Linked DNA regions of Pelodiscus sinensis. Each later gene encodes a partner of the first gene's protein in a complex. Links are inferred from orthologs where the notes say so. Each region holds a gene or a part of one and is shown on either strand. Other genes may lie near its edges.

The links. Proteins that work in one complex are often made in the same cells at the same time.
Region 2: the proteins of THOC6 (region 1) and THOC7 are in contact, whole or in part, in a cryo-EM structure (PDB 7APK), measured with the Homo sapiens proteins. The link is inferred for Pelodiscus sinensis from reciprocal best matches to the Homo sapiens genes THOC6 and THOC7. Residues at the interface, in NP_001334633.1 of Homo sapiens: Asp229, Trp232, His245, Thr252, Gln268, Asp269, Gln284, Leu285, Ser286; in NP_079351.2 of Homo sapiens: Lys110, Arg113, Lys114, Gln117, Glu118, Ala121, Leu122, Val125.

The regions. Positions count from the first base shown.
Region 1 is NC_134714.1:134,743,916-134,748,748, reverse strand, and holds the start of THOC6 (THO complex subunit 6), read left to right. Parts: upstream 1-1,381; 5' UTR 1,382-1,507; coding exon 1,508-1,522; intron 1,523-4,833. UniProt on the Homo sapiens protein: Component of the THO subcomplex of the TREX complex which is thought to couple mRNA transcription, processing and nuclear export, and which specifically associates with spliced mRNA and not with unspliced pre-mRNA.
Region 2 is NC_134721.1:4,391,675-4,396,507, reverse strand, and holds the start of THOC7 (THO complex subunit 7), read left to right. Parts: upstream 1-1,945; 5' UTR 1,946-2,102; coding exon 2,103-2,121; intron 2,122-3,485; coding exon 3,486-3,603; intron 3,604-4,833. UniProt on the Homo sapiens protein: Component of the THO subcomplex of the TREX complex which is thought to couple mRNA transcription, processing and nuclear export, and which specifically associates with spliced mRNA and not with unspliced pre-mRNA.

The sequences.
Region 1 (4,833 bases):
GGGTCATGCCAAGCCTAGGGGTTACCAGAATTCATTGGGGTGGGTCATGCCAAGCCTAGGGGTTCCCAGAATGCACTGGGGTGGGTCATGCCAAGCCTAGGGGTTCCCAGAATGCATTGGGGCGGGTCATGCCAACTCAGGGAGCTCCCAGAATGCTCTGGGGTGGGTTAAGGCAATGCCAAGGAGCTCCCAGAATGCACTGGGGTGGGTCATGTCAAGCCTAGGGGTTCCCAGAATGCACTGGGGTGGGTCATGCCAAGCCTTGGGGTTCCCAGAATGCACTGGGGCGGGTCATGCCAACTCAGGGAGCTCCCAGAATGCTCTGGGGTGGGCTAAGGCAATGCCAAGGAGCTCCCAGAATGCACTGGGGTGGGTCATGCCAAGCCTAGGGGTTCCCAGAATGCACTGGGGTGGGTCATGCCAAGCCTAGGGGTTCCCAGAATGCACTGGGGCGGGTCATGCCAACTCAGGGAGCTCCCAGAATGCTCTGGGGTGGGCTAAGGCAATGCCAAGGAGCTCCCAGAATGCACTGGGGTGGGTCATGCCAAGCCTAGGGGTTCCCAGAATGCACTGGGGTGGGTCATGCCAAGCCTAGGGGTTCCCAGAATGCATTGGGCCGGGTCATGCCAAGCCTAGGGGTTCCCAGAATGCACTGGGGCGGGTCATGCCAAGCCTACGGGTTCCCAGAATGCACTGGGGCGGGTCATGCCAAGCCTAGGGGTTCCCAGAATGCATTGGGCCGGGTCATGCCAACTCCGGGTGCTCCCAGAATGCACTGGGGCGGGTCATGCCAAGCCTTGGGGTTCCCAGAATGCACTGGGGCGGGTCATGCCAAGCCTTGGGGTTCCCAGAATGCACTGGGGTGGGTCATGCCAAGCCTAGGGGTTCCCAGAATGCTCTGGGGCGGGTCATGCCAAGTCCAGGGGTTCCCAGAATGCCTCGCACCCAGCTGCCACACCCTATAGAGAGGGGCGGGGCCTGATTAAGGGGTGTGGCCGAAAGAAAGGGCGGGGCAGAAGGCGGAGCTCGATCCCGCGCATGCGCAGAGCGAAGGAGCGACGCCAAGCGGCGCGGGCCATGTCATTCGTTTCGCGCCCGGAGAGGAGTTAGGGCGGGGATCGGCGCACGCGCGGTACGGACCTTGGGGGAGTTTTTTTCGCGCCGATCGGGTTGCTTTTTCTTCTTCCCCTCCCCCCACCTCAACGTTCTCAGGATTCTCCGCCGCGGCCTTCCTTGTAGGGTGCGCGCGCAGCCGCTCCTGTCATGTGACGGGGCGAGCCAATGGAGTACTGCGCCGCGCGGCCACCCGGGAAGTGTAGTCCTGGGCTTTTGCGAGAACGGGGCCAGCCGGCGCGTGGAGACTCCACTTCCCGTCGGGCCCCGCGCGCGCTCGCCGCCGGAGCCAAGCCAGGCGGGGTCGCGCAGCCTGCGGGGAGCTGCAGTCCTCGGCGCGGTGGGATGACGTAAGGGGAGCGCGACACGGAGGCGCATTGCATGGGGAGACCTCATGGCACCGGGGCAGGTAAGTGGGGCCGGGGAGAGGGAGGAGCTCCCAGCATGCACCGGGCTGGGTCAACCCCACCGCATTCTGGGAGCTCCCCGGCGTGGCGGGACCCGGCCCGGTGCATTCTGGGAGCTCCCGGCGTGGCGGGACCCGGCCCGGTGCATTCTGGGAGCTCCCCGAGTTGGCGGGACCCGGCCCGGTGCATTCTGGGAGCTCCCCGGCTTGTCGGGACCCGGCCCGGTGCATTCTGGGAGCTCCCCGGCTTGTCGGGACCCGGCCCGGTGCATTTTGGGGGCTCCCCGGCGTGGCGGGACCCGGCCCGGTGCATTCTGGGGGCTCCCCGGCGTGGCGGGACCCGGCCCGGTGCATTTTGGGGGCTCCCCGGCGTGGCGGGACCCGGCCCGGTGCATTCTGGGGGCTCCCCGGCGTGGCGGGACCCGGCCCGGTGCATTCTGGGAGCTCCCCGGCGTGGCGGGACCCGGCCCGGTGCATTCTGGGAGCTCCCCGGCGTGGCGGGACCCGGCCCGGTGCATTCTGGGAGCTCCCCGGCGTGGCGGGACCCGGCCCGGTGCATTCTGGGAGCTCCCCGGCGTGGCGGGACCCGGCCCGGTGCATTCTGGGAGCTCCCCGGCGTGGCGGGACCCGGCCCGGTGCATTCTGGGAGCTCCCCGGCGTGGCGGGACCCGGCCCGGTGCATTCTGGGAGCTCCCCGGCGTGGCGGGACCCGGCCCGGTGCATTCTGGGAGCTCCCCGGCGTGGCGGGACCCGGCCCGGTGCATTCTGGGAGCTCCCGGCCTGGCGGGACCCGGCCCGGTGCATTCTGGGGGCTCCCCGGCGTGGCGGGACCCGGCCCGGTGCATTCTGGGAGCTCCCGGCTTGGCGGGACCCGGCCCGGTGCATTCTGGGAGCTCCCCGGCGTGGCGGGACCCGGCCCGGTGCATTCTGGGAGCTCCCCGAGTTGGCGGGACCCGGCCCGGTGCATTCTGGGAGCTCCCGGCGTGGCGGGACCCGGCCCGGTGCATTCTGGGGGCTCCCCGAGTTGGCGGGACCCGGCCCGGTGCATTCTGGGGGCTCCCCGGCGTGGCGGGACCCGGCCCGGTGCATTCTGGGGGCTCCCCGGCGTGGCGGGACCCGGCCCGGTGCATTCTGGGGGCTCCCCGGCGTGGCGGGACCCGGCCCGGTGCATTCTGGGAGCTCCCGGCGTGGCGGGACCCGGCCCGGTGCATTCTGGGAGCTCCCGGCGTGGCGGGACCCGGCCCGGTGCATTCTGGGGGCTCCCCGGCGTGGCGGGACCCGGCCCGGTGCATTCTGGGGGCTCCCCGGCGTGGCGGGACCCGGCCCGGTGCATTCTGGGGGCTCCCCGGCGTGGCGGGACCCGGCCCGGTGCATTCTGGGGGCTCCCCGGCGTGGCGGGACCCGGCCCGGTGCATTCTGGGAGCTCCCGGCGTGGCGGGACCCGGCCCGGTGCATTCTGGGGGCTCCCCGAGTTGGCGGGACCCGGCCCGGTGCATTCTGGGGGCTCCCCGGCGTGGCGGGACCCGGCCCGGTGCATTCTGGGGGCTCCCCGGCGTGGCGGGACCCGGCCCGGTGCATTCTGGGGGCTCCCCGCCTTGGCGGGACCCGGCCCGGTGCATTCTGGGGGCTCCCCGGCTTGGCGGGACCCGGCCCGGTGCATTCTGGGAGCTCCCGGCGTGGCGGGACCCGGCCCGGTGCATTCTGGGGGCTCCCCGGCGTGGCGGGACCCGGCCCGGTGCATTCTGGGGGCTCCCCGGCGTGGCGGGACCCGGCCCGGTGCATTCTGGGGGCTCCCCGGCGTGGCGGGACCCGGCCCGGTGCATTCTGGGGGCTCCCCGGCGTGGCGGGACCCGGCCCGGTGCATTCTGGGGGCTCCCCGGCGTGGCGGGACCCGGCCCGGTGCATTCTGGGGGCTCCCCGGCGTGGCGGGACCCGGCCCGGTGCATTCTGGGGGCTCCCCGGCGTGGCGGGACCCGGCCCGGTGCATTCTGGGGGCTCCCCGGCGTGGCGGGACCCGGCCCGGTGCATTCTGGGAGCTCCCGGCGTGGCGGGACCCGGCCCGGTGCATTCTGGGAGCTCCCGGCGTGGCGGGACCCGGCCCGGTGCATTCTGGGGGCTCCCCGGCGTGGCGGGACCCGGCCCGGTGCATTCTGGGGGCTCCCCGGCGTGGCGGGACCCGGCCCGGTGCATTCTGGGGGCTCCCCGGCGTGGCGGGACCCGGCCCGGTGCATTCTGGGGGCTCCCCGGCGTGGCGGGACCCGGCCCGGTGCATTCTGGGAGCTCCCGGCGTGGCGGGACCCGGCCCGGTGCATTCTGGGGGCTCCCCGAGTTGGCGGGACCCGGCCCGGTGCATTCTGGGGGCTCCCCGGCGTGGCGGGACCCGGCCCGGTGCATTCTGGGGGCTCCCCGGCGTGGCGGGACCCGGCCCGGTGCATTCTGGGGGCTCCCCGCCTTGGCGGGACCCGGCCCGGTGCATTCTGGGGGCTCCCCGGCTTGGCGGGACCCGGCCCGGTGCATTCTGGGAGCTCCCGGCGTGGCGGGACCCGGCCCGGTGCATTCTGGGGGCTCCCCGGCGTGGCGGGACCCGGCCCGGTGCATTCTGGGGGCTCCCCGGCGTGGCGGGACCCGGCCCGGTGCATTCTGGGGGCTCCCCGGCGTGGCGGGACCCGGCCCGGTGCATTCTGGGGGCTCCCCGGCGTGGCGGGACCCGGCCCGGTGCATTCTGGGGGCTCCCCGGCGTGGCGGGACCCGGCCCGGTGCATTCTGGGGGCTCCCCGGCGTGGCGGGACCCGGCCCGGTGCATTCTGGGGGCTCCCCGGCGTGGCGGGACCCGGCCCGGTGCATTCTGGGGGCTCCCCGGCGTGGCGGGACCCGGCCCGGTGCATTCTGGGAGCTCCCGGCTTGGCGGGACCCGGCCCGGTGCATTCTGGGAGCTCCCCGGCGTGGCGGGACCCGGCCCGGTGCATTCTGGGAGCTCCCCGAGTTGGCGGGACCCGGCCCGGTGCATTCTGGGAGCTCCCGGCGTGGCGGGACCCGGCCCGGTGCATTCTGGGGGCTCCCCGGCGTGGCGGGACCCGGCCCGGTGCATTCTGGGGGCTCCCCGGCGTGGCGGGACCCGGCCCGGTGCATTCTGGGGGCTCCCCGGCGTGGCGGGACCCGGCCCGGTGCATTCTGGGGGCTCCCCGGCGTGGCGGGACCCGGCCCGGTGCATTCTGGGGGCTCCCCGGCGTGGCGGGACCCGGCCCGGTGCATTCTGGGGGCTCCCCGGCGTGGCGGGACCCGGCCCGGTGCATTCTGGGGGCTCCCCGGCGTGG
Region 2 (4,833 bases), on another chromosome or scaffold:
AGTTTTCGGGGGCACAACCCACTTCTTCAGATGAATGTAGTGGATTGTGTCCCCGAAAACTCATGATACCGTCTACATTTTTTGTTAGCCTCTAAGGTGTTGCAAGACCAATTGTTTTTTAAGTTTATACTATAATATAGAAAATTTAAGAGATAGAAATTACTTATCTATGGTTATTTCTTCTACTATCATCCATCACTATAATATCTCAAAACCTAAATTTATGCTTCAGGATGTAAAGCAAACACAAATTACTTAGGATTAGGGAGAAACCAATTGTCCATTATTGGCATTCTTGTACCTTCCAATAAAATATCTAATACTAGCCACTATAAAAACAAGATACTGAACTAAATAAGCACTGGTCTGATTTGGTATGGCATTTCCTATGTACCTATTAAAGACCATTCTCAGGAGCAAAATTAATCCCTGAGCAAGTTCACCTTTAAACCAGGAAACTGCAAAACATTCCAGTGCTCTCACACTTTTTACTGTATCCTAGATCAATTTTCAAAACAAAAAACTGACCCTAGTGAGAAAAACAAATATTTTAAGCGTACAAAGAAGCACATAAGTTATGTAACATGTGACGATCAAAACAAAAACAGAAGACTATGGTAAAAATATATATGAATGAGAGCATCCAAGTAAAGTCCTCTAAAATGCTTGAAACGTGAATGCTTATTAAAGTATACCACAGTAACACCAGCTACAGCTAACTACACCGTTACTACAGAGTCACAGCTTGTGGTTCCACATGCTAACGCTAACCATATGGCATAAATAAAACCCTAATCTCTCCACCCCCTTGTTCTCTCCCCTATGGTTCCTAGCTTGGGTCCGCATGGATCTCCTCAACAAAGAGCGATGAGGCAGATACCAGACCAGCTAAAACAACAGATGGATTCTCCCTTGGTGTAAACATCTTTAGCGTGGGCATAACTTTTATTCCCACTGCAAACTGATACTTTGTAGGTCAGTAAAAGGGTAAACAAGGTGCTGAGGACAACTCCAGTTGGTGAGCAGCTACCTCACTGGGTTTAGTAGGACCAGTTGGGACTCTGGCAGCATCCTGCCAGATGCAGATGTCTGGTCCTTCTTAGCATAGACGGGAGAATGAATTTTTTTTTGTTTTTTTGCTCAGACTATTTTATATTTTAAAATTAACAGTGACACTGCAGAGTACCGCTTGTTGAGAGATAAGCACAGGTCCAATGTGGTTACTGTCAATGTTTTACCTCAATGAGCTAGGAAAGGGTCAGTCATACCCAACCGGAGTTAGAAATTGCAGTGGTAGCACAAATATAAGGGCGACAGTGATAAGGGACATGGTAGCAACGAGACAAGTGCGTAACACAGCAGCGAAAGCAATGAAGGAAACAACGGCCACAGCAACCAGGAGAAGGGAGATGGTGGGGAGGGATGTTAATTCTAGAGAGCCGATGGTGGTGAAGTTGTCGTGGGGAATAACGGAAAGGATCACATCAAGCGAAACGATGGCGAAGGCAACTGCGATGAGAGAAGGGGTGGTAATGGAAGCCAAAGGCATCATGGAGAACGACGGCAACCGCGGCGGCTCAACGATGGCAAACGCAACCCAACGGAGGAAAATCACGGCCACCCCGGGGCACGATGCCAACGAGGGCGGCAGAGGGGGACGGTGCGAGGCCAATGCCATGGGGGCACCCCAGGAGAGCGTCAACGAGGCCGGCACCCACCCCACGCTGCCCGTGACGGAGACGGGGGGCAGGACGCCAGCCACGGGCACGCGGGCGGTTGCGCGGGGGCCACGCGTGGCGCACGACGGTGAGGGGGCAGGGGGCCCCCACGCACCCAGCACCCGGGGGGGGGCGCCCAGGAGGGGGGGGCCGGGCGAGGCCGGCGCGCGGGGTGGGGCCGGCCGCCCCTCACCTGGTGAGGCCGGTGCCGCGCGGGGTGCGCCCGCCCTCTCCCCCGCCGGCCGGTGGCGCGGCAGCGCGGGGCCCCGGGTCCGCAGGGAGCAGCTCAGGCCCCAGCCTCCGCCTCCATGGCTGCCGCGGCCCCGGCTGCATTGTGGGAAGCTGACCTCACTCGCCGCCGCCCCGCCAGCCGCCTGGGCCGCCATGGGCGCCGTGACCGACGGTGAGCGCGTCCCCGGGCCCGCCCGGGCCTCCCCTGCCCCCTTATAGCGCCCGGGACACGCGGGCCTCCCCCTATAGCGCCCGGGCCGGGCCGGGCCTCCCCTCCCCTTATAGCGCCCGGGACACGCGGGCCGGGCCGGGCCTCCCCTGCCCCCTTATAGCGCCCGGGACAACCGAACCGGGCCTCCCCTCATCCCCTATAGCGCCCGGGCCGGGCCTCTGCCCCCTCCCCGTTACCGGTCGGGCATCCCTCCTTATAGCGCCCCGGGCCAGGCTTTTCCCCGGTACCGCCCGGGCCCCGGGACACGCGGGCCTCCCCCTTATAGCGCCCGGGACAACCGAACCGGGCCTCCCCTCCCCCCTTATAGCGCCCGGGCCGGGCCTCCCCCCCCCCCCCCCGGCCAACCGAACCGGGCATCCCCTCCCCCCTCGGTACCGGCCGGGCCTCCCTCCTCATAGCGCCCGGGCCCCTCGGGCCAACTAGGCCTCCCCTCACCCCACTCCTCGGGCCGAGCCTCCCCTCCCCTCTTATAGCACCCGGGGCGGGCCTCTCCCCGTTACCGGCCGGGCCTCCCTCCTCATAGCGCCCGGGCCTCGCTTCCCTTCCCACCCCCTTATACCGCCCGGAGCTCCTCCGGCCCAGGCCTCCCCCCTTATACCGCCCGGGCCAGGCCTTGCTCTCGCCTCCCCCCTTTTACCGCTCGGGGCTCCCCCGGGGTGATAGCGGGCCGGGCCTCTCCCCCTCCCCCCGGCCAGAGCCTGCCTCTCAGGCCCCAGCTCGTGACCCAGCCCCACAGCGTTGGCCTCGGAGCGCCCCTCGCTCCAGAGACCACAGCGCTTTGGGGGGCCCCTACAGGTCCCTGGGGTGCCCCCCCATTCCCGGGTTTGCCCCCGTGTATTCCAGAGAGACCCCCCGCTGCTGGGGTTCCCAATGGGCCCCCGTCGGCTCCCAGCTCCTGCCTCCCGCACCCCAGCTGTGAACTCCAGGCTTCTCCCTTTTCCCCATGTCCCCTTCCCCTTCCAGAATCTCTGCCTACCAGCTGTCTTCCCTTCTTTCCCACTCCAGAGCTACCGCCCCCATCCACAGAAACAATCACACAACCCTAAGCACCAGGCAGGCCCCATTGCAGAATGCCCCCACTCAGACCTTCTCAATTTGGGAAATTAAGGGGGGGGGGGTACTTGTTGGCAGCGAAGTAATGGGGAAGGGAGGTTGGATACACCGAATACCCTACAGTCAACCATAGAAAATGTTCTCTTCAGTGCCAGGCTGTAATGGGAGGGATATTGTTCAAAACCAGGATCAATCATAACTTGAGGCTGTAACTTACCACGTTTTTAAAATATGATCTTCCTCTACTCTAGATGAAGTTATTCGTAAACGACTTCTAATTGATGGAGATGGTGCTGGTGATGACAGACGAATTAATTTGTTAGTGAAGAGCTTCATTAAATGGTGCAACTCTGGATCTCAAGAAGAAGGGTATTCCATTCTCTGTTTTTCTTCTTTAAAGCAATGTGGTCTAGATACCAGTAGTTCAGAGCCAAAAGCTTGTTTTGATTATAAAAACATTCATTTCATCTTAAAACAATTCATTTCATCTTAAAACATATTTTATTACATTTAAATAGGACCTTGCATTGTTTACAGTCCAAACTCTGCAGCAATTATGTAACCCAGATAATTAGTACTGTAGAGTCATTTTTTGCCAATTCCCTTGATATTAGTATTTTATTTAAAGCTCTAGGTCTTGGGGTTAAGTAATTGGATGGGAATGTCAGCTTTTTTTTTTCTTTACTTATCTACTCCCATTGATGTAGACTGAAAAGTTTGTACTCTAAGCACTCAAAAGCCAGAAGGCAAATAAAAAACCCTTTTAAAAAATCTCAATTTAAAGTGAATTATTTTTTAAGGCCTGATTCATTTTTTTAAAATATTTTGGGTTGGTAATAGTGAATCTACGCTGTTGCTTAAGCACTGTTGAGAGTTCAGTAGTGTTATAATCTTTCTGCTATAGCAACTGATTTTACAGGAACTCACAGCTGTAGTATAGTACAGAGTTTTTCAACTTTTTTTTTATAAAGTACCCACTTTAAAAAAAAAAAAATTATAAGTACCTCCAATACCTACATTTTTCAGACAGACAACATTTTTTTCTACCAGTGCAACACATTTGTTTAAACAACTTAATTGTAGCCGGGCGGGCCATGAAAATTTTTGGGTGTAAAAAGTACAAAAATAACAAAGTGCTGTAAGACTGACAACAAAAATTCAGTTTTCTCTCAATTTCAGTTGTGTTGACTTATCCCCCAGAGTTCTCTCGTGTACCCCTAAGGGTACTGATATCCCTGGTTTAGGAACTCTGGTATAGGATGACTGACAGATATGTCCTGGAGAAGATAGTATGTTGCTTTTGTTCCTCTGTATAAAAAAGTGTCAACGAAAAAGCCCATTAATTAAACTCCATTCAAAATGAAAGGGAGGACTTTATTAGAGACAACACTCTAAAACTAGATGCTTAGAGGAAGTTTTCTTTTGGGTGACTATAAGAGCATTCTGCAGAGCGTTCAGAGCAAGACGTTGTAAAATAGAACTGACAAAGTAGTCTAGGGCTGTTAAATTGCGGTTACCGAGCTAACAGAATAGTCGATAGGACTGCTATGCAGAGCTGCAGTGGGGGTAGCTCCGGGAGCCACCCATGCTGCAGCTCTG